Linked DNA regions of Lepisosteus oculatus. The protein of the gene in region 1 interacts with the protein of each later gene in a biochemical or structural test. Links are inferred from orthologs where the notes say so. Each region holds a gene or a part of one and is shown on either strand. Other genes may lie near its edges. The genes, in order: myog and csrp3.

The links.
Region 2: the proteins of myog (region 1) and csrp3 form a complex in vitro, tested with the Homo sapiens proteins (2 studies listed by BioGRID and IntAct, with this or other methods). The link is inferred for Lepisosteus oculatus from reciprocal best matches to the Homo sapiens genes MYOG and CSRP3.

The regions. Positions count from the first base shown.
Region 1 is NC_090700.1:33,456,840-33,469,394, forward strand, and holds myog (myogenin), read right to left. Parts: upstream 8,256-12,555; 5' UTR 8,140-8,255; coding exon 7,630-8,139; intron 5,618-7,629; coding exon 5,512-5,617; intron 4,257-5,511; coding exon 4,141-4,256; 3' UTR 3,661-4,140; downstream 1-3,660. UniProt on the Homo sapiens protein: Acts as a transcriptional activator that promotes transcription of muscle-specific target genes and plays a role in muscle differentiation, cell cycle exit and muscle atrophy.
Region 2 is NC_090716.1:7,305,945-7,318,477, forward strand, and holds the start of csrp3 (cysteine and glycine-rich protein 3), read left to right. Parts: upstream 1-7,638; 5' UTR 7,639-7,786; intron 7,787-8,868; 5' UTR 8,869-8,895; coding exon 8,896-9,007; intron 9,008-9,992; coding exon 9,993-10,161; intron 10,162-11,658; coding exon 11,659-11,788; intron 11,789-12,533. Other genes in the region: transcription factor E2F8, read left to right, coding at 18-101, 381-647, 959-1,112, 1,525-1,845, 2,256-2,417, 2,535-2,672, 2,772-2,981, 3,524-3,605 and 5 more. UniProt on the Homo sapiens protein: Positive regulator of myogenesis. Acts as a cofactor for myogenic bHLH transcription factors such as MYOD1, and probably MYOG and MYF6.

The DNA.
Region 1 (12,555 bases):
AGTTGTTTCTTCATTAATTTGTAAAGTCTGTGGTTTAGAACATAAATACTGTACATTTAAAATGAGAATATAAATTAAAACATCTACCTACAGTAATTTGTTTTTTAAATAGCTAAATGGTTTATGAATCTGGACTTTTTTTTAATCAGAGAAACCTGGGCTTTGACTTCAAAAACATGGCTAGGTAGCGTGTTCTAGACTCTCACAACCATTTTTGTTCACTTTTACCTCATGTTCTCATCTTGAAATGTGTTTCCCCTTGATTTTTGTTTGTGTCCTATGGATCATGTTTTACTGTTTACTCATGAAGAAGTCCAATGGGATGAGTTTGCCCTTAGGGATTTTTAATACTTGAATCAGGTTCCTTCATAGTCTTACCATTCATGACTAAAAAGGTTTAAGCTCTTTTAGTCTGTCAGTTTGAATACAGTATACCTGGTCGCTCTTCTCTGAACTGAATTGTAGCAGCATCTTCTTGGTATCATGGCAACAAACATTGTGCACAATATTCTCAATGAGGTCTTACTAGAGCATGTTACAGTTTTATGAACTCAACATTTTTAAATATATATTTCATCAACATTTTTAAAGCGTGGGAAAGTGGAGTGTCTTATCTCACATGCAATAATGGTATATCATTGTAAGTTGTGGTGTATGTACACTGTAAGTTCCTAGTGTCAAGGAAGTGCTTTTTTGTGTGAGAATAATCGAATATCATTCTCAAGGTTTAAGCCACCTTTCAAATACTTGTTATACAAAGAAACAGGTTTCACTTAAGGAAATGTTCTATGCTATATTTTATGTGCCTAAACAATAGAAACAAACTAAGTGTTGTGAGATGTCTGTGACAATGGACACTTCTGTAATCATGGTTCATTAGGGATACAGTGCCCACTATGTATTTTAATAATTTCCTGAGAGTACCGGATCTCAGAAATGATAGAGCTCTTTTTTGGCGAGGTGCTAGTGCAAAAACAAATAGACTGTTGCAGGAGTGTATTTACAGAAGATGCTGTTTTTTTAATTATTTGTTTTTTTTTTATATTTATTTGATTGATTGGGATCTTTTGGAATATTCTGACTAACTTTAGTTGAAAATGTTCTGCTGAAATGTGAGGGTATTTAGGCCCTGAAAAATTTCAAACAAGTTATTCTAATAATATGATCTATTTCTAATGGGATATATTACACCTGAATATGCCTGTTCTCTGCTCTCAAACTGGATATTGTCTCTTGGATTTAGCAATCGGTGCAATGTGCATGCTTCATATACTTGTGGATTTTTTTTTACTTTTTATACATCACTGATGGGTTATGTTGCCCCTGTTGCCATACAAGTTAAGCACTTCAGAAGCGCAATTCTTATTAGTTGTGTATTGACAGGAGCTGCTCCAGTATTTCTATGTTCACACTATGCTTTAAAATAATCCAGCATTCCCATTGATGTGTTGATAGAGTACCAATTAATTTCTCTTTTAATGTAATGTACCTTCTCAATGTCTGTTTTGTTGATTGAAATGTCTCTTCCCAGCCTAGTTATCTGTGGATCTTTATGAGTGCTTGAAATTGTGGGAGCAAAAAACAAAGAAATATATATATATATTTGGTTGCATCCGTTTGTCATTTTCTTTTAAGCAGTTTCAATTGTCATTAAAACGTGTCTGAAACTGGGATATAATTTGCAAAAAAAGAAAAATGTGCAATAAATTCATCTTTTGAAGTATGAGAAAGGACTGATATGTACAGTGCCTTGCGAAAGTATTCGGCCCCCTTGAACTTTTCAACCTTTTGCCACATTTCAGGCTTCAAACATAAAGATATAAATTTTTTATTTTATGTGAAGAATCACCAACAAGTGGGACACAATTGTGAAGTGGAACGAAATCTATTGGATTTTTGAAACTTTTTTAACTAATAAAAAAATGAAAAGTGGGGCGTGCAAAATTATTCGGCCCCTTTACTTTCAGTGCAGCAAACTCACTCCAGAAGTTCAGCGAGGATCTCTGAATGATCCAATGTTGTCCTAAATGACTGATGGTGATAAATAGAATCCACCTGTGTGTAATCAAGTCTCTGTATAAATGCACCTGCTCTGTGATAGTCTCAAGGTTCTGTTGAAAGCGCAGAGAGCATCATGAAGACCAAGGAACACACCAGGCAGGTCCGTAATACTGTTGTGGAGAAGTTTAAAGCCGGATTTGGATACAAAAAGATTTCCCAAGCTTCAAACATCCCAAGGAGCACTGTGCAAGCGATCATCTTGAAATGGAAGGAGTATCAGACCACTGCAAATCTACCAAGACCTGGCCGTCCCTCTAAAACTTTCAGCTCAGACAAGGAGAAGACTGATCAGAGATGCAGCCAAGAGGCCCATGATCACTCTGGATGAACTGCAGAGAACTACAGCTGAGGTGGGAGAGTCTGTCCATAGGACAACAATCAGTCTTACACTGCACAAATCTGGCCTTTATGGAAGAGTGGCAAGAAGAAAGCCATTTCTCAAAGACATCCATAAAAAGTCTCGTCTAAAGTTTGCCACAAGCCACCTGGGAGACACCCCAAACATGTGGAAGAAGGTGCTCTGGTCAGATGAAAACAAAATTGAACTTTTTGGCCACAATGCAAAACGATATGTTTGGCGTAAAAGCAACACAGCTCATCACCCTCAACACACCATCCCCACTGTCAAACATGGTGGTGGCAGCATCATGGTTTGGGCCTGCTTTTCTTCAGCAGGGACAGGGAAGATGGTTAAAATTGAGGGGAAGATGGATGCAGCCAAATACAGGACCATTCTGGATGAAAACCTGTTGGAGTCTGCAAAAGACCTGAAACTGGGACGGAGATTTATCTTCCAACAAGACAATGATCCCAAACATACAGCAAAATCTACAAAGGAATGGTTCACAAATAAACGTATCCAGGTGTTTGAATGGCCAAGTCAAAGTCCAGACCTGAATCCAATCGAGAATCTGTGGAAAGAGCTGAAAACTGCTGTTCACAAACGCTCTCCATCCAACCTCACTGAGCTCGAGCTGTTTTGCAAGGAAGAATGGGCAAGAATTTCAGTCTCTCGATGTGCAAAACTGATAGAGACATACCCCAAGCGACTTGCAGCTGTAATCGCAGCAAAAGGTGGCTCTACAAAGTATTAACGCAAGGGGGCCGAATAATTTTGCACGCCCCACTTTTCATTTTTTTATTAGTTAAAAAAGTTTCAAAAATCCAATAGATTTCGTTCCACTTCACAATTGTGTCCCACTTGTTGGTGATTCTTCACATAAAATAAAAAATTTATATCTTTATGTTTGAAGCCTGAAATGTGGCAAAAGGTTGAAAAGTTCAAGGGGGCCGAATACTTTCGCAAGGCACTGTACTGTATGTATACCATAAATGGAGTTTATTTCTAATACTTTGTATAAAAAACATACTGTATACTGTACACATTCAAATTAAGCTGCTACTGTTTCTGAGACTGGTTTATATTAATTTAGGTTTTGATCAAACAGTTTAATATTAGATTTAATATTTATTAATTAGATTTATATGAATATCACCATTACATTCTTGGTAATAACATTAACACGTCATTGTAGAATTGATAAAGAGGCTTGACAATGAAACATAGTTTAATTTCTTTTGAACATAATCAGAGACAGAAACAAGACACTTGGAAAATACAAATACACATCAGTCTTTATTATAAAAATCCAAAATAAGTTAACAAAAAAAATAAAATAGCAAATCCACTCTGTAAAAAAGACACATATTTACATCACTTTCTTCCACATTTCTAGCTTAAGTTAAGCAAAAATTGGTCAAACTGCAGTATAAAATATTGGCCCCACATGAATAACCATTCATTTTAAGCAAAACACACACAAATAAAATGCAAGACCAAAAGGTAAATGCTTTAAAGGATGATCTCAACTCATCAATATTAAGTTAAGGAGCAAAGAGCTGTTAGAATCGTTAAAGCTCTCACTTCACATATCTATACGTATAAAATAAAATAAAAAATGGACCACACATTTTGTACAAGGAAACCACTAAGTCATGATTTGACATGTTTTGTGGTTCTTGACTCTCAGGAGTGCTTTTGGTTCTTTGGAAGATTTGTGTTCGGCTCCGTCAAAGCTCTCATTTGGAAATATCCCCTGGGTAGGTGACCGCTGTGCCTTCCACAGTAATGCTGTCCACTATGGAGCTCAAAGACCGAAGGTTGGGTTGTTCCGAAGAGTCTTCATTAAGAAGGTCTAAAAAAATATAAAAATATCAAGTATAAAAAATATGATGAGGATGTGTCCTCATTTAGCTGTTTTCCCTTATTTCTAATTGTGCTCTGTAGCACAATTATATCACACACATAGTACAAGAAATTATCAGCTACTCAAGGAATGACTGAATTCACAAGGCTGTGTTGTGGGTGACAATGATCAATTCTTGTGTCTTCAATTAAGAAGGAATAAACGACACTATTTTTAAAACATGCCTATTGAGGAAAAGGAGCTGTTGCACATTACATGTGTGTATGTGTACCATGGAAGGATGATGGGTAAAGTGTGATTAAGAGAAAAATTGTGGCATCGACAAAAAAACCAGCAGACATAAGATTAGGCTTGTTAAATTGTTTAGTGTGCTGTTTTGATGGTAATACATGATAAACGGAGGTATGTTTTCTGAAAAATGTAGGAATTCAGCACTTGCCTCATTTTTAAATAACTGCATTTCCCTCATTTACAGCTTCCCCAGTGGTGTTTGTATCCAGATAAGGGACACAGCCATACAGTAGCTAGTAAGCAAAACATCCTTCATTCTCATTTGTTGGCATAATTCAGTCCCTGAACAATTAGGAATCCAGCGCTTTTTGCCTGTCATGGATTAATTACCATTATATTCAAAATCCTAATTATTTGTTGTAAGCTATAAAACAAGAATGTTCCATCTTTAATAATAAGTTTAGTACAAAGCTTGCTTCAGTTATACTAATGTATTGTCAGCTTCTACCATATTGTTGCTGTTTTCTTATATCATAATTATTGGTTAGCAGCAGTATTTTCTTTCACCAATATGTTGGTATGTTGAATGATTATACAGTAATATCATTGACATTTAGAGAACATTTCTATTTCAATTTAGTTGTTTTTTTTTCACTTTTTCTTGCAGGAATTAGACATCAAACTCCTAACAACATCTGCATCCCTGACAAGTTCTTTATTTATTTTCAAGTAAAATTTAGAAATGTTTTTTACATTTCTATAAAACAGGGAAATGAGAGGAGAACGTACAAAAAAATAATCCTGGTTAATATGTGATGTTTTTTTTTTTTTCCTGGCTTAGTCAGAATACCCTTGAAAATGAGAGGCTTGAATGCTCTAGTTTTGTTTTTGGTAAGTTCAAAATGACCTTAACAGAAAAGCTCGAGAGATATCCATGTAGAATAAATGCCTGCAGTAGGAAGCTCCTAGCACACCCTTGTCACGCCCACAGGCTGCGTAACTGCTGCCTTACCCTCAGGGTTGTTGCTGAATGCGTGGCCACAGTGATCTGAGGGGCTGCTCCACTCCGGGCTGCTGCAACAGGTGCTGCCAGAGCCCTGCTCACTGGAAGACGACACCTGCCGCCAGGAACACATTGACATCACACAGTCAGGCATGTCAGTTTCATTCACTGGACGTAAACAGCTAAGGGTTGGCTGAAACAAAGCACTATATCACACAAGCAAGTACAAGCAAGACCTTCCTCCCCAAAGAATAACTGGAACTTTTACCTTATCAACCAATAAGACTCATATAACTGTTTTTTTTTTCATTTTGTCTTGAATTTGTCTGGGAGGTTTCCTGAAAATATAAAGATCTTTATCCTTATAAAATTAGCTCATATACTGTAGATTATGGGTTTCAGGTCTTTAATTTTTTGGGTAAAACATTTGCAATTATTTGTTAGTTTTGTGATGGTTTCTCAGAACAAGCGGGAATCCAGGGCTCTTTGCCAGGCAGATGAAATGTATGTCCATACTAAATTAGTATGCTATTTTTTTTTAAAATAAGTCGGTTTAGATAGCATAGTGTCAAGTGAAACTGAATAAAAAGTGTTGTATTTACAGTATGTGTTAAAACTTGGCTTGCAATAGAAGATAAAGACAACATTATGTCATTCAAACTTCATACACATATAAATAAAAAAAAATGATTTTAACTTAATTCTACAACAACACATAGTATAAAAAACAATATGCAGAGCTATAATATATACTACACATCTGCTTTAAAACATGTGTCCTGAACAATGTTACTACTGAAAAGATTGTGTAGAAAATAGTACTTGTTCATTAATATTGATATTCTATTTCATTTTATTTTTATGGTCTGAATAATAAAGTCTAAGATAATTATTGGCACTTTTGAAAAACGTTCCTTAGCCTATTAAGGAGGCACAGTACAGGACAGGACCAGTGTTTTTTATTTGCTTGTCTAAATATGTGCTGTCCCTCAGACCTGGTAAATACATTGAATTTTTTAAATTGTATGATGTTTCCAGTATAAAAAAGTGTCTTCCGGTGGTTACATTTGGTTTCCAATAAAATAATTGCATACACTACAACAAAAGGCTAATTACTCTTAAACCCAAAACGTTTACAATTGGAGAACTGTCATTCAAAACACTGGCACTGATGCTGTAATGACACCAAACACTATTATTAAATATGCTTTGTTATTAAACATGTTCTTAAATATTCTGCATCTAAACACTGCCATATCTGTTGTTGTAATCATTTTCTGCTAAAGATCCAATGTTTTCTTGCTTAGCTATTCTCTTTTAAACTAAATAGTTGATTTATACTTTAGGTTTCAGCTCTCTAAGGGCTTGATAATCAGACTTGTTTGTAGGTCTTAATTTAGTGACACTAAAGTTGGGAAAATATGTCAAAGGTTTATGTTTTTTAATTAGATATGTCTGTGCACCAGTGAGGAGGTCTGGGAGTACTGTTTACAATAAATACAAAGTGAAATAAGACTGAGACTAATGTAAAGGTAAAAGACAGTAATTTCAGGTGTAAGAAAAAAACAATGATCATCTTGTGTGCTTGTAGCCCTGTTATTTAAAAATCCATATTTCTTTTGAGATCATGTACTCAGATCTTATTGTTGGATTTCTCAAGCCTTCATTCCTTAAGGACAATTGGTGTTAGTTTAAAAAAATACCTTAAAATAACATTTAAAATACTTTACAATTAAAATAATACTCAAAACACCAATGTAGAGTGCATTGCAAATGGATAGTTAAATGAAATTTTAGTAAATCTAAATCCATTAACCCACTGAAATAGATTCTATTTCATCAAAGCCAGAGACATTGTACATTTGAACATGTTTTTTTGAGTTACAGTAGTGATAATTATTGTTGTTGTTGATACTTGTAGAAAGCTGTTAAAACTTGATCCTTGCTGAAAGGACTAGTCAAACCATACAAGGTAGTGATTACCATTAGACTTTTTGTTGTTATTTATTTTTTGTTTACAGTAACCCCCTCAGTAACATCAGAGTACTGCAGGTCAGTGACAGGACACACCCTGCACGGTGCACTTGCTTTGACAGCCGGACCTCCCTCTCTGCTTCATTCACTTACCCTCTGGGAGCCAGAGCCCCTGTAGTGGAGCCCACCCTGTTCTCTCTCCTGCTGGTTCAGGGAGCTGACCAGCGCCTGCAGCCTCTCAATGTACTGGATCGCACTGCGCAGGATCTCTACTTTAGGGAGCCTCTGGTTGGGGTTCATGAGAGTGCTCCGCTTAAGCGCTTCGAAAGCCTCGTTGACCTTCTTCAGCCTCCTCTTCTCCCTCAGGGTGGCAGCTTTTCTGCGATCCATGGTGACGGATTTCCGCTTGCAGATTTTGCAGGCCCAAGGCAAACACTGGCCGGGGCAGTGCTCTTGAGGGGACAGGCTGGCCGCTGGGGACACCTTGTCTTCCAGGCCCGTGCCGGACAGTAACCTGCTGTCAGAGCACAGTCCCATCACTGGTCGCTCCTGGTAGGTAGTTTGATCGAAAGCACCTTGCAGCCGGGTGGGGAAAAAATTTTCACCTCCTTCATAGAACCTCTGATCGGGAAAGAAATAAGGGTTGGTCTCAAAAAGCTCCATTTTTCTGGCCAGTGCAAGGTCACTCTCCACTCCTCGCCACTGCTGGTCTGAAAATTTGTGCTCGTGTTCACAGGATCTGTGGAAAACAACTGCTCACACCAACTGTTTGGTGGCATTTAAACCCTCTGCTTGGCATTAGATCACTGGGTTAAATATAGAGAAGCCCAGAGAAACCTGATCCCACTTTTAGCTGTTGCCTCACATCCAAACTTTACATCTCTTTTCATTCTTGATCTCTTGGGGGGTTTTGGGGCGGTTTGGTTCAAGGAATAGTGACACAGTCTTTTAAAAGATAGGAGGACCCTAGCTTTGTTCTTTCAAGCAAAAAGAGTTAAATAAAATGTAATGCACTGTACACAAATTACCCAAACCCTAATGAATGCAGTCTTAATAAGGCATTGATTCCCATTTTTTATTTTGTTTCAAAATCTATTGCTACAATAATCAATTTCCTTTGTCTTTTTTACCATCTCGTATACAATATAACCATTTTTAAAGCTTTAGACCTTTTGGAAAGTGTATCCATTTAGAAAAGAAAAGGTAAAGATACTTTATGAGGCTGATTGCCAGAACTTCACACTTTGGTAAAATAAAAGAGGGTTTTCATTTTTTTATTTTAAGTAAATTAATTTTTTGGAAGAAACTCCCTATCAATGATCCATGCAATAATTTAGACCAAATGACTCCAATCAGCTCTACACTAATTGATGTAACTTGAACACCAGATTAGGAATTTCCACCAAGATGATCTGTAATACTACATGATGACTGCTCACTGAAATCAGAGAGAAGTAAATTAATTGTTGACAGTTAATATCTCCTCTGTGTTCTTCCTGAACTTAGATAATAATGCAGTGCAGCTATTGTTGATTTAGACATATCCCAGTTAAGTTATCTGATTAACAGGACTCACTATTAACGGCTTTCAACACTACACAGTTATTCAAATACTGGCTGTGTAACTTTTTTTCGCACCCTCTAAATGAACATGAATGCTCTTGGTTCAGAAGTGCATTAGCCCTGCCAGTCAGATTTCACTATCTCTGCAAACTGCAGCCCAGAAGCTTGTCCTCTCCCCTTAGTAACTCAGCCCAGGCCTGATGGATTAAGTGATTCTGCTGTTTGCTGTCAGTTTAAAGTGTGATGGATAGTCACTGATGGTTGAGGCAGTACAAAGACATTACTGTACTGGAGAGGGGTCCTCTCAGTGTGTTATAATCACTCATTACTACCTTAACATTTGGCCACTGGGTTCCAGAGCAGCATTATAATATTTAACCTTTATATTTATATTATATTTAATATAATTTAATAATAACACCTGAAGAAGGCTCCACGGCCGAAATGTTGTGTTTTCTTTCTTCTTTTTTTCAGCATGGGATAAACCTATCACTTGTTCCTTTGCAGCCTACACATGCTGACGCAGCTAACCACCTGAACTTATAATATTTAAGTCAGTTTTATATGGATTTATTTTTTATTAAATTTTGAGTTGTCATCTCAACCTTCCATTCATCCATTTTCTAACTGCCTTATCCAATTCAGGGTCACGGAGGATGCTGGAGACTAACCCAGCAAACAACAGGCACAAGGTGGGATACAAACTGGTTGGGACATCGCAAGGCACACACATAACAGGGCCAACTTTACAAAAGCCATTTAACCTTCCTGTATGTCTTTTGATGGTGGAAGGAAACTGGATCACCCAGAGGATAGCCACACGAACACATGGAGAACTCCATAGAGATACAGTAGCACCCCAAGAATTGAACCCATTGCCCCAGGAATGCTGACCACTGTGCCACCCTATGTCTGGCTTCCTCAGAACATAGATGTCAACCATTTCACTTTTCTCGCTAAATGAAACGTCTCTTAGCAAAGCAGCTTCTTTGTCACTTAAGGAAACAAATGGTAACAGTGACTTGACATTTCATTAGCCTGTATATTTCCTTGTTTAGCTTCTTTAATTTCTTCGGCGCTGCCAGAATAGAAATCAGCGCAATGTCAACATTTGGACACGAAAGTAAAATAACAGAGTCATTTTTCAAAATTACATCCAGATAATTCTGTAGCTTTGCTGCATATTCCAACAGTGGTTTTTGTACTCCCATACAGTATAGTCTGATAGGACCACTTTCAAAGTGTTCTTGCTCTTGTGCAAAATATGGTCCATTTTTCTCTTCCAGTACAGAGACCAAATTCCAAAATCCTCTAACAATTTCTTTTCCACACCCGTTTTGTCTTCAGCCTTTTAAAGAAAAGACATTTAAAGAAAATTACAGCAAATCAAAGTGAATTGTGTTTTGTAAGGACAGTGGGTGCAGCAAAAATATACTGTAGTGCACCTTGGGGTTCTAAAGCAGAAGGAAGGGAGTTAATGCTGCATTTTTGGTGTTAAAAGGTTGTGTCTCTTACTGGTGTCTGACAAAGATCAACCTAGTAAAACTAATCAGACTCAAGAAGATAGATATGTTTATTACCAATAAGTGTGTTTTATATCACTGCCAGTTTTCTGAGTGTTTGCAGTTGTAAATCATTTTTCAAAATCCTATCGTGGTCACTTTTGTGTGGTAGGGGTTACTTTTGTTTGTGAGGTTGATTCATGATTGGTGATTCATGGCAGTCTTTCCTGTGGTTTTGCAGATCTAAAGTCCCACCGAACATGAGCTACCAAATGCTAACTTATGTAAGCAAGTTGCTCCAAGTCTGAGAATCTGTCTTTTGAAATGTACAATTTAGAGTATGCTAGTGCATGTCAATACTGGATCCGCAGCTGATTTTTCCTTGTACAATACAAAATGTCAGCCATGAAAATAGTAATATTGATTTGCTTAGTAGGTGTTTGAAGAAAACAGGAAGTGAAAAGGTTTGCCCGTGGAGTTAAATGGCTTCTGGTTTTTTAACGGTTCGGGTTTGTCGATACCAAGTTGAAGAAGTGACCAAGAGAGCAGCTTTAGGAATTTCTTCTCGCGATCGGAGACTTGTCGTTGCTTGTGTTCCTGCTTCATCACTGACAAGCAGGAGCGCATTGCGAGACAGCTGTGGCGGGTGAATTAGCTTCTTGTGAAGAAATGCCCAGAACGTGGCCGCATTAGCTATGGAATGTGCTCTCTTCTCTCATACTTGGCTCCCGACCCCTAGAAAAATATTATGCCCTCCGTTATTGCTTCCAAGAGAGTGCTGGCCTCTGTAATGACTGCGACAGATGCTTGCCTCCACCGTGTTTAGAGCTTTTCTGCTTTTGACTTCTAAGTTGCCTGTTGCTATGGGATTTGCTTTGTCAAATGATCCGTTGACTGCTCAGATTAAATTTCATCCAAAGTGTGCTATAGAACATGTGACTTGTATAGAAAATGTGTTGTGAATGCAAAAGATCAGTTAGATCCGTCTGTCTAATCTTTAGCATTTTTTATTCCTTTATTTGTTAAATGAAAACATCTTGAGTGTATTTTTGCTTTATGATAAGAATATGTTTATGATATTTTTAAATGTGTTTCTTATTATCAAACGTTATTTTAAAACTATAAATATTGATGTCTATTAATATATCTACTTATTTATCTTTTGTTGTGACCTAAGTCATTTCAAGGGGCAAAGTGTGAATTTGCCTTCTAAAAAATGTAAGGTATGTGCATCAATCATCAGACATTAACTGCAGAGCACAGGGATCTTTGAAGTGTGGGACAAAACATTTAACTCTGAAAATGAAGGTGTTGATTTTTATTCACCAATGATAGATTGATGGAAGTTAAATTCAAAGTGCTTGAGTATAGTTTACATACAGTATAGGCAAAGATATTGCATTATATACTTGGAGATTGAGGCCATGGATAAATCTTTTTAGTCTTTTTTTAAGAGTTTTAGTCTCCTACTACAAAGACGTTATGCACAGTACCAGTGAGAAAGCATAAATTTATTTTACGTTATTTCAAGTTTTTATTCTGGCAATACTTATAGTAAAATAAGAAAACTTGAGGTCAGATAAATGAATATAGCTTTGATGGTCTGTGTCAGTGTAGGTACTGTACAGTATGTGTATGCAGCTTCCTGTAAACTGTAAATTAGTGAATGAATGACTTCCTTTCTCACGTGCATAATTACCCACAGTAAATGGAAGGACCTACTGTAAATGAGTAAATGCTTTTGCCAATGCGATTATTTTGAATTTGACTTTGATAGTTTCCAGAATTCTCTCTCAGGTCTCTGTACAGGTATCTGTACATAACTTAATTCACATTTAGGAAATCACAAGCCACTACAAATATATGTTTTTCTATGCTCTTTCACAGCTAAAGAAAAAAGGGGACTATTGACAGAGAGATAGCTGGAAGGAAATACTACATGTTGAAAATGGTCATTGCACTTGACCTGTTGGCTTTTCATTGACATGACTGATGCAGAGCTGTGACTTGCAAT
Region 2 (12,533 bases), on another chromosome or scaffold:
TTTTTTAAAGGTGGAAGATGACAAGTGCATTGTTGGAATTAAAGAACTTAAATCAGAAACCAAACCGTTTCTCTAACACACCGCATAAAGAGGATGGAAAGGTTAGTAATACGATGTACAGATGTACTGTTTTTTTAACTAAAATTGTAATTAGTTTACAATCCTTCACTGTAACCTGCTGATTGTCTTCATCAGGCACAAAAAATCCCCTCCAATCTGAATAAAAAGTTTGATAATTGATAATCAGTACAGATTATCTTCATATATTTGTATGTTTCTGTTTTTTAGGGAAACGTTTTAGTTTAAGCAGGATATTTGTATTTGAATCACTAAGTAATGCATATTCATTCAGTTAAACATTTAATTTTCCTTTTTTGCAGTATGGTGTATTTGTAGAGCCTCCTGCACTGGGAATCAAAACGCCACTTAAGGCTTCTACCTCACATTCAGTATTAGCAGAGAGTCAGCAAGACATGGGGTCTCTGACGACGCCAACCAAGGGGAAAGACACTCCTGCCTGTGAGCCTTGGACCCCAACGGCAAACCTTAAAATCCTGATCAGCGCCGTTAGTCCGGAGATCAGGAACAGGGAAAAGGAGCTATGCATTGATGACACTGAAGGGGCAGGGGCTATTGATAGTTCTCAGGTAAATGTCAATTCTCCATTCCTGCAGGTTTTAATCTGGCATTAGATTGCTGAAAATAACCTTGCATTACATGTCTAATTCATTCATCCTGGTCCAAACAGCATTTGTATATTTATTTTCTCATCCTACAAAGAATTTGCAGTTGAACAATTATTGTTATGGTGTAATTAATTTATTTAATCCTTGATTTAATCCTTTTACAGATGTGTTTACGTTACATCAAAAGCTTTGTTACAAAAAAGGTACAAGTTTCCTTGCACTACACAATCCTGAACTCGATTTAATTACTCATTTGTGTCTCCGTCCCCCAGGAACACTTTGGCGACGATTCTGACAAACTTCAAACAAGCCGGAAAGAAAAGAGTTTGGGGTTACTCTGCCACAAATTCCTAGCAAGATATCCTGATTATCCCAACTCTGCCCTCAACAATGATATCTGTCTTGATGAAGTAGCTGGAGAGCTTCGTAAGTTGCGATTTATGTTTCAGTAGGCCATTATCTGTCTGGAGGTTCCATGTTTAGGAAGTGATTCTCAAAAACAACCACAAAGATAAAGACAGAGCTAACGAGAGTTACATGCCAAGTTACTGTTAATTTTAAAATGTCGAAAACAATTGCAAATCAACAGATGCACCACAAGCAGAACCAGAGCAGATCTGTTGTGTAATTTTACGAACAATTAGATGGGAAAACCTAGGAAGTCTCTGAACAGCCCCAGGCTGCTAGTTAACAATCCCGGGTTTGCACTGTGCTTGTACTGTACGTCACAGGATTCCCACAATAAGATATTTCATTCGCCTTCGTGGTGCTGCTCTTCAACCCGCGTCTCGCTTATAAATCCGGATTTTAAAAAAGAACCCGCGTTGTGATCACACAGATGTGGAGCGCCGGCGCATCTACGACATCGTCAACGTGCTGGAGAGCTTGCACATGGTCAGCCGGCTGGCCAAGAACCGCTACACCTGGCACGGGCGGGGCAAGCTGGCGCAGACCCTGGGCATGCTGAAGCAGGTGGGCGAGGAGCACGGGTACTCGGCGCAGATGCAGCAGCTGAAGCAGAGGAGTCACGAGAGGGAGTTCGACTCGGACGCCGAGGAGAAGGAGAACGAGGACGTGCGGCAAGCCGGGGGGCTGGATGGCGACGTGGGGCAGAGGGAGATGTTCTTCGTGGAGCTCCCGGGGATGGAGTTCAGGGCAGGTGAGGCTCCGCGCTTCAGACACGCTCCCTTTTGTCTGTGTGCGAAAATGAGCATGGAGAGGAAGAGGCTTCCAACAGCAACTTTTTGAAGAAATTAAGCTCACAATTAACTCTATTAAATCTTTCCCCTCAAAGCATCTGCTTATTTCTGTCTGGCTGAAATGCTTTCACAAACATTTGAAAAGCTAAATGGAAAACGGAAGCCGTCGAGGTGTTAAATGCAGATTTACAACCTATGACCACAACCAAAATATGAGATGAAGAAACTGGTTTTTACCTCAGAGTGAAGTGTCATACGTATACATGGAAAAAAGTTGCTGCTGTATAAAAAAAAAAAGACCCTTGTGTCTAAGCAGAGAACTACACTAAACAACAGAAACCTCACTGCCATTTCCTTTCTGCTTTCACAGCTTCGGTCAACAGCAGGAAGGACAAGTCGCTGAGAGTTATGAGTCAGAAGTTCGTGATGCTGTTCTTGGTTTCCAAGCCCCGCGTGGTCAGTCTGGACATCGCAGCTAAAATTCTCATCGGAGAGGATCAAGTGATTGATTTGGATAAGAGCAAGTTTAAAAGTGAGCAGTATTTTATTTATCTGGATTTCCGTTTTATGACGCGTGCTCGGTTGCTCTACAATACTTCAATAATTCGGGGACCGCATGTGCTTATGGTTTCCACTGCATCTATTCCAGCAAAAATCCGGAGGCTGTATGACATCGCTAACGTGCTGAGTAGTCTGGAGCTGATAAAAAAGGTGCACGTTACAGAGGAGAGAGGCCGGAAGCCAGCATTCAAGTGGACAGGACCTGAGGATTTCTTATGTGTTAAAGGTACATTTTTAATGCTATAATTTACTGCAGTTGTTTAATATGATCATACTACTTTTAGTCTTTAAGCTTCATTTTGCTTATTTTTTCCTTTTTCCACAGATGAAAAGACATCATCAGCTGCCACTTTAGCTACATCCAAGACATTAGAATCCAGATCCTCCATCGAAAATTGCGCCAAAAATCTCTTCCCTTCGTCCAAGACAAAGCATAGCTTCACACGGCACCCATCTCTTGTCAAGCTAGCAAAGAGTATCCAGGATGACCGAAGGAAAATAAACTCTGCACCCAGCAGTCCTGTCAAGATGAAAAGTAAGTGTTAGGCAGTACAGCAATACAGTGGCGGGGCATATCTTTAACACAAGTAGGAAGCTGCGTCAGCATGCGTAGGCTGCAAAGGAACAAGTAAAGGTTTATTCCATGATGAAAATAAAACAACGTTTTCGGCTGTAGAGTCAGATGGCACTTGAAGAAGGCTCCCCAGCCAAAATGTGTTTCTTTTTTTCTCTTTTTCAGCATTAAATAAATCTTTACATCTTTAACACCTACAAGTCTGAAAATAAATGATCCCCCAGATAAAGTGAACTACTGGACAGTGATACATGTCACAATGAAGCAAGATGTCTTGCTACACAGTGCCTTACAGATCATCACTGGCATCTTTTATTAAACAGGAAACAACCTCTTCCAGCAAACAGACTAGAATACTGAGCAATACATTTATAAGATGTTAGCTTTTAAATATTGTGTAAATTGTGATGGATTATGAGCAAGTATATGGCATTTAATGTCCCTTTTGCACTTTGTTTTTTTTCATTCTTTACACTTATCTCCGTATCCTTGTTTCCCCCAAGACTCGACCGATCCTGAATGTTACCCAAGCAGAATGGCCCAGCTGGCAGCCATCTGCAAAATTCAGCTTGATGAGCAATCAAGGTAAGTTCTAACTAAGGTCATTTAGTGCAATATTTCTTTTCTGTAATGTGGAAATGTTTCTTATTTCCTTATTTAACTTGGTTCGGACAAAGCATCAAACTTTGGTTTTTAATAGCCTTAATGCATCTAAACAAACAAGTAATAGGTTTATTCCATGCTGAAAAAAAAGAAGAAAGAAAACGTTTCGGCCGTGGAGCCTTCTTCAGGTGAGAAAGACAAGACACCTGAAGAAGGCTCCACAGCCAAAACGTTGTTTTCTTTCTTCTTTTTTTCCAGCACGGAATAAACCTATTACTTGTTCCTTTGCAGGCTACACATGCTGACGCAGCTACCCACCTGAACTACTTAATGCTAATACAGTGATAATGCACATACACACCAAAAAACAGTCACCATGGGGGAATCAAAACTTCATTTGTTCAATGCAACTCATTTTTCTACCTCATGAAATAAACTGCTATTTACTTTTGTTTTAGGAAAAGCAAGAAGAAACCCAAACAGACTGTGACACAAGCTCAAAAACAAAAAGGAAAAGCCACCAAAACATCAGGAGCTGTTGAGCAACTAGTAAACGCAGAACAGCAGGATACCAACTCTCAGGCTAAGACCCTTGCGCCATCTACCAGAGCAGTACCTTATCTTCACTGTCAGTATTCTCCCCTCATCCCCATGATACTACCTCAGAACCAGACTGCTGGACCATGTGCTATATATGTGCACTCTTGTGCGCGGCCAGTAGCTAATCGCTCCAGCCTGGCTGTACGATCCATGAGATTTGAAGATAAAGGTGGGGAAAGTCCACCTGACGCTGGCTTAGAAATCCACTGCGACAGGACAGCTTCAGCTTCTGATCCAGAAAATGACTCCTCTCAAAAGAATTGCCAGTCGCCTTGTTCGCTGAACAGTCCCAAGAGGGTCTATAAACGAGCCTGTACTGAAAAGCTTGAAAACTCTTCTCCAAAAAGAAAGAACACCCAGACAAATTCTAGGGTATGTTTTCCTCTTTCTATTTTTGATTCTAAGGGTGTTTCCAGAGCTACAGATAACCTAAAAATATTAGCTACGTTCATTGTTAGCAACTGTCATTCAGAAAAGTTAATTTGTTATATTACTTAAAAAGTGCCTGACCAATAGGTTTAGTCAAGCGTTAAGGAAAGACGTATGTAACTCTCCTGCTTGGTTACCGATGATTCGGTGTCAATTTTCTCAGATGCGACCCGAGAAAATGCTCATTCTTAAGTGAAATTCTCTCCTGATTTTTATCATCAGGGTTCGTCACCCGGTGAAGCAGAGCTATACGAACTCTACCTGGACAAGCTCAAGGCACGCAGGGGATTGGTACCCAACAGACCTTCGCCTAGAGCCTTGCACTTAGATCCAGAGTTTATCAATACCCCGGAGAACAAGGGATCAGAGCAGCTTGACGAAAGTGTGGAGACATTCCTGGAAAAAGAAGAGAAGCTTTCGTGTTCCGACAGCGAAGCAGGACTTACTCCTATACGATCGGTCTCCGTGCCAGAAATCATGGTGCCTTCTGGTCATCTGCACCCTGAGGTAACCAAAGTTTGATATTTCCGTTCCAAATGATATCCACGGATGGGAAAATGTGTTCTGACCATTGATTTTTGTTACATCTGTTGTTCCAGGCACTAGTGCCAGCCGGCTATCTTATTCCCATATCGCAGCAGTCCCTCTTCAGCCTTCAGAGGTCGCGGTCCCCGGACGGAGAAAGCCCCAAGCCCTCAGCTTCACACCACAAGGCTTACCAACCCCCTGTCACAGGTACCGACACGGAGCGAGAAAGCTCACAAGATAGCATTGGAACTCCCGTGTTTCGGAAGTGGTTGAAACCCATTTGACTACCATTCTGTCTTTGCCCCCCTCCCCCACAGGGGCCCTACCTGTGATGTCTTCAGAACTCACCCCTACGAGCTTCACATCGCACGCCACGTTTCAGCACCCCAGCCCCTCCGTCTCCCTCGCCTCCTTTCCAGTTATCAACCAGTCGAGCCCTTCTTTTGCCTCCGGGCAGCACGTGAACAGCCCCAGCCCCGCAATACTGAACTTCACACTACAGAACCTCGGGCTGATCTCGGCTGGAATCCCGCAGGGTGCCAGCCCTGGCACTGTGGCCACCCCCCTGGAGCAGGCCAGCCCCGTCCCAGGACACCTGAGCTTTCAGCCAGGGGGGATGATCTTCATCAAGCCTATGTCTCCAGTCCCGGTTCAGCCTCAGATGCCTGGACAGCATGTTACTTTGATCAGTTTACAGCAGGTGAGAACTAGGACTTGGTTGTTCAAGACCTCTTAAAAGAAGAGAGACAAAAAAATGTTTCACGCTACTATATAGTAATATGCAGTTGTTGATGTAACACATTGTAAATTATTAAATATTTATAGCAGCAGTGAAATACAAAAAAGACGTGCAAACTATGTAGAAATTATTTTTAACCAGTTACAGAAGCAGTCAGAACTGTTTATGTAAAGCATGAATTAACATTAGAGTAAAAGTATCCATTACACACCTTGAAAACTTTGAATCCAAGTTATCAGCTGACTGTAACTGTTTTTATTTTCAAACAGCCTCTTCTGGCAACGCCCAAAGCATCCCAGTGTGCTCAACAGAGCTTCTTCCACACCCCAGTCTCCACCTTGTCTCCCTTGGCTGCTGTGGTCTCGTCTAGTCATTCGTCTCACGAGAACATTTACATACCGCAGAGGAAACTTGAAGTGAGCACTGAAGAAACCTGAAGACTGTAGCAGCAGACCCTCTCTGCACTGTTTTTTTCTTTCATGAGCTGCAAAACGATATTTATAAAGCTTTGACAATTTGACTGTGTGAGTGGGGGGGTGTCCCTTTGCACAAAGGGGTACGCTAGTTCATATTAAATTATTTCTAGGTCCTAAGCACAGACGTGTTCAGGTCCTGCAACACCTGCAGTGAAAGTCATTAAAAAGTTTTGTGGATTTTACAAAACAGATGGATATACCTTCTGAAGACTACAGCCCCTGCTACCAGGTGTCCTCTAATAAAAACTGCAGCATGGAAAAACTTAAAATATAGGGTACCTGCAGGTTTTAGAGTAGTTACAAAACAGCATACTGTATGTACTCTGCTATTTACTTCTTGCAGTTTCTACTGAACCAGACTTGTGCCCCATGATCACTGAAACTAACTGGGCTTGAAAACCTGCAAAAACACAAATACAGTTTACACTGTACATCTTAAAGCACAGACAATGTTTTAACAGTTAATCAACATTTCCACAGGATGAGAAAACATTCACACTGAAGATCTCCATCTTTAATGTTAAACACTAGCTTTTTATACAGTCAGTGCTGTAGCAGAACTGGAGTTTTAAGCAGGAAGTGGCACAGGACCTCGGACCCAATGCATTAATGTACTGCATAATTTTCCAATGCCCATTTAGGATATTCAAAATATGCATGTAGGAATAAACTATGACAAATGTTTCTTATTCAGTAATACAAGTAGCCTTAATAGGACAAATCAAACCGATACATGGATGATTCATGTTTTGCATGTTAGCAAAAAGATGTACGGCACAATGACATTTTGCACATTTTATATGTTAACTGTTACAGTTCTTTAATTGGTATCTATGAAATAAAGATAAAAAATGAATGTATGGGGAAATTTCCTATTAGTGTAATCAGGTGAATTATAATTTCATTAATTTATAGGAAGGATTTTCTTACATTTGTCAATGATCAAAATTGTTAACCTGGACTGCTTTGGTTGGATTGCAGTTGAATTAATTTGATATGTACACATTTACTAAGAAAATAAAGGGGGATTCTTTCTGTTTTCAGCATACAACACCTGTATTTCTTTTCACTGATGAAAATTTCTTAACTAAGGACCCTTCAATACAGCCTACAAATCTGACACATGCAGCTGCCTTCATATTTACACACATGCCCATATTTATCATGAGAACAAATGGCACCCCTAGGGACTTACCAGTTCCCAGCACAAAGCAAAGGATTTGTCAGAAGTTATTTTGGGAAGACCGCTTAATTTGGATGTCAGCTACTGATACCTCCTATAGCTGTGAATGAAAGATGTCCAGTATTTAAGGCTGCCTGGTTTGACATCAACTCAAACCCACCGATCTAAGCAACAGAGAAGGACTACTGGACCCAGGGATCTCTATTTTGTAAGTCTTGGTATTGTTTTACAAAGACTTTCTCATAAAGTATCACAGAATGTCACGTCAAAATATTGAATTCCGTGCTATATCATGAGTTATGTTGGATTAACTGGTTGTAAAATACTTTTGTATTGATTTTGGTGTTAGTAAATTGTAGTGGCAAAATTCCCGTCTCGTCCAAAATATCATTAGAGTTGTGTTTTTAAACATGTAATTAAACCGTGAAACCATTATGGTAGTCCTGATGAAGTCCAGCCGAATAGAATAAAAAACCTGCATACCAGTTAATGTTTTAATAAATTCTTGCCAATATCGTTTTATCTCGGGAGTTAACGTTACATATGTTACTAAACTATTTTTTCCCCTCAAGTCGATTTGTATATTTCGGGAATGAAGCCTCAAACTGCATGAAATCATCTAAATATTTACCTTTAAAGAACCATTGGCATAAGTTCTTCAGTACGTAACTGTGGTCTTTGTACAGACCCTATTCCTGGACTCTTATCGCGGCATTCCAGACATTCAAATTGCTTAATGTCGCTTAATCAATGGAGAGAATAAGTAACTTGCGTGTAGTCTATCAGTCACCCGATACCTTATCGCTCATTTGGGATAAAACTTCACACACATCAAACACTCTTCTGTTCATTCTTATCACTATATAATAAATTGATCATAACGTTTTAAATAACGGGCTAAATTGATTTATTTTCTAGTTGTGTCTTGACGTGTACAAAAACTTGGCACTAATTAATATTTGCCACGCAATATACAATTAATAGTAGATATGTATTACTAAAAGAACTTGGTATACGTTTAAAATACGTTCAATGCTCTGCGAATAAAGATTCAAAAGCAAAATGCTTTTAAGGCCATGAAAATGTCATAACACGCTAAAACACCTTAATGCTAGAACATTTAGAGTAAGCATGCTTGAAACGAATCCCTTATAAAATATTTTTTTAAGTATTAATGGTCTGAAAACGCGGTTCCAATGAGGTATTTAATGATGCGAAGTTGGTAAATACTGTTGTTTCAGGATACAGGTACTGTATGTTGTGCGGTTGTGTGATTTTTCTCTTTTCCAGCAGATCGTTTGAAAAAACAGATTTAAGATGCCGAACTGGGGCGGTGGAGCGAAGTGTTCAGCCTGTGAGAAAACGGTTTATCACGCAGAGGAGATACAGTGCAATGGAAGAAGTTTCCACAAAACCTGCTTTATCTGCAGTGAGTCCTCCGTTTATTCACCACTAATGGTCCACACGGACGACACTTCTCCGTCGCTCATTTTTGTCTTTGGGGGCATTTGGGATGGGTCTGTGCTGAGGGCGCAGGGAATGAACTCTAAACCAAACGTTTGCCCCTTTTTCAAAAAGGCACGCAAATCCTGCGACACCTGTTTCAAGATGTCATTGCAGAAAACAGACGAGCATACAGTAGTTTAGAGACGCCAGTTAACCTAAAAAGCGTGTCATTGTACTGCGGGATGCAGTCGCCGCACAAAAGCACCCCTGGGCTCCGAATTGAAACCCAGGATTTAAGAGCTTGCAGGGCAACAGACCTATCCAGCTCTTCATCACGTGTTATGAACTGTAGCCCATAATTAAATTGCAAGTCTGACATTTGGGCTGCAATCGGTAATGTCATTGAATCCCAAATGTCCGTGTAATTAATTGCCGTTCAGGCTGTGCTCCGTCTGTTGCGGCAAATTAAAAAGTTTACCCTCCGAAACAAAAATGGAATTAGAAACCAGGTTATACTGGCCAATAGCTCAACATCAACAGCGGACAATTTTGCATGCAAGGGAATTTGGAGACTGGCACAATATTAACTAAAATATCTGTTATCTTCACAGCGACCTTCTTTGGCTACTTAACAACGTAGCACCGAGGTGTGGAAATCACCAGGGCTCAATCTGAATGATGCTAGCTCTATCTTTAGCAGGCCAGGCAAAGGTCATGTGTGACATTTATAAATAGCTTTCATTGTCAGGTTTGACGCCATTTTATTTTTGTGACCACGATAAGTCAAGTTTTTAACTAAATTTAAATTTACCTTTTGGCTAGCAAACGGTACTTTTATGTACAACATACCCCAGGATGAAGCATCATACTGACAGGCAGCGACCAAATAAAAAAAACAACAACAACAACAACAACAAATGTTTTGCAGCTCCCGTCTTCTAAGAAAGCTTTACCTTTGTTTCTTCTAGTGGTCTGCAGAAAAGCCCTTGATAGCACAACGGTAGCAGCACACGAGTCTGAAATTTACTGCAAGACCTGTTACGGGAAGAAGTATGGTCCAAAAGGCTACGGCTATGGACAAGGTGCGGGAGCACTCAGCTCAGACCCCGGAGAGCACCTGGGGATTCAACCGCAAGAGTACGTGAAGGGAATTCATCCAGCAGATCAAATACCATTTTCAATTTCCTGTTTACCTAAACTACAGCACTAAATAAGTGTCCCAAAGTCCAGTGCCAAATGCGCAAAAGTGTTCCTTGTACGCGAAGTCATCCGCGTATTTTTGGAGCTCACTTTGCAACTTCAAAGGCAATAGTCAGCTTCTGCGTCTTCAGTAGAACCGAGTTTAGTCAAATCCATCAATTGCCCTCTGCAGCGTAATACGTTTTTTTTTCCCCTGAGGTTTATCAAGTTAATATGAACTACACACTTCTCCAAACGGTTCGAATTTTGCCAGGACGCCTGGTTCAACCGTGAAACGCACCTGAGAAGCTACCGGACTGAATGCGTCCTGAACAGACCCGGAGTAGTGATCAGGGTCACCTGGAAATTATGTTTGAGACTGATTTGCTTGAGGCAAAATCCTCCGACGCTCAAATATTGAATGGGAATCACTCCATCTTGTTTTCGTAATGAGCAGATTTTAGTCTCCTTAAATAGGAATGGCCTAAATTCAAAGGGATATTACTTTACAATACATTCCGAAAACACGGAATACCATGCATAACAAAAATCCGTATTTTCAACCTTCTCAAACCGAGAGATTATTAATTAAAAGTAATCTACTACAGTGACGAGCTACACGTGTAAGTGATTACATTTGAGAATAAACCAAGACGTTGGGGGGAAAATCATTTGAAAAGCCATGAGTTAGAGATCCATTTTACGTGTGTATTGTTACTATGTTGTAAAATGTTATATTCCGTCTTAAAACTTTAAAATTATTATTTCTTTTAAAAATTAACCCCTTACATTGCTTGTTACTTGTAACCTTAATGGATTACCCCATAAATGTACCATTCCAAAACCCTGATTATATCTGTTGGGAAAATAAGGTACACAATTCTAATGCAGATGTAAATGCAAAGTACTTTGTGTATGTTGTAATAAGTCGCGTGAATCCTTTCATTTTTCTCAAAGACCAGGATGCACCACAATCACAAACTAGCAAATTACCCTGGAGTAAAAAACATGTTTTGAGCAAAGTTTCTCAGGTGAAGGTGTCTCAAAACAGATTCCTATCATACATGCCTAGGCTTACCCAAAGTACGAAGTGATTTTAAAAACAAAACTGAAAACAACAAAACATATATCACTCCTTGAATGAACACAACACACCTGTTTCTATGTGTTTTTAAAAAAGTACAGCTATTTGCCAACCACTGTTAAAAATACCATTTCCAATATTTCACAATATTTTTGTGTGGGTATAGCCTCAATTACTTTTTAGCCTCTCTTCTCAAGTTTGTGAAAATGAGGTCAGTTCAGGTTTAAGGGTAGGTTAAGGGCTATGGTTGGGGGTATAAACTAATACATAAGCCTTATGCCCACAACTGCAGTTGGACAAATAACCATTGACTTTTATAGATGCAATAAAAATTATGTACTAACACATTTTTTCCCACCTCTTTGGATTAGATCAAAGCCTCATCGCCCGACAGCGAACTCGAACCCCAACAAGTTTGCTCAGAAATTCGGAGGCTCAGAGAGATGCCCGCGCTGTTCTAAGGCTGTTTACGCTGCAGAGAAAGTCATGGGAGGAGGAAAGGTACAAATATGCACAGCCGGGTTTCATTCAAGAGAGGATGTAAACTGTTGCTTTTGGAGTCACATCTGCTGAAGAAAAGCCATGCTCATACCTACAGAACCTACAGAACAGTAACAGGTTTTTTTTTACATTTGTAACTTTGAGAATGGCTACAGTACATGAAGCACAAACTCTCCAGCTGAATGAGAACAATAGCAAGTGTCTGTTGCTCGTTCATTCATAAACAGAATCTCTGGGATAAAGCAAATTTGTTTGCTCCAGGTGTCATCGATTTGGACGTTTGTGGGAGTAAATACCAGCGAAGGAAGTGTGCTACATTTATAGCACACAAAGTAACACAAAGTTTGTTGTTTGTGACTCACCCACTTGTTTTTAAGAGTAGCGAGTTTGGCCCACGGAGAAGATGCCTCTATATGTGATTGTGTCTTGTTAAAAGTTCTCATTGTAGAGGCTTGAAGTTAGAGCATCTCGAAAACCTAATACATTCAGTATGAAGTTTCAAGCTTGGTACATACAACTGTATAAAGATAAATAAAAATGGACAGTATTCATAAAGTGGCGCATTTCAAATCCACAGCTCACTAACATCTGTTCACCTATCTGCAGGGGTTAAATTATATGAATAATATATTAATTATTAGCAACTTTTATGGAAAATGAAAATTATTCACTCAGAAAAAATAAGTGTGATAACTGTTGCAATTGGTCATTATTGTTAAATGCCATAATGAAACGAAGCCCAAAT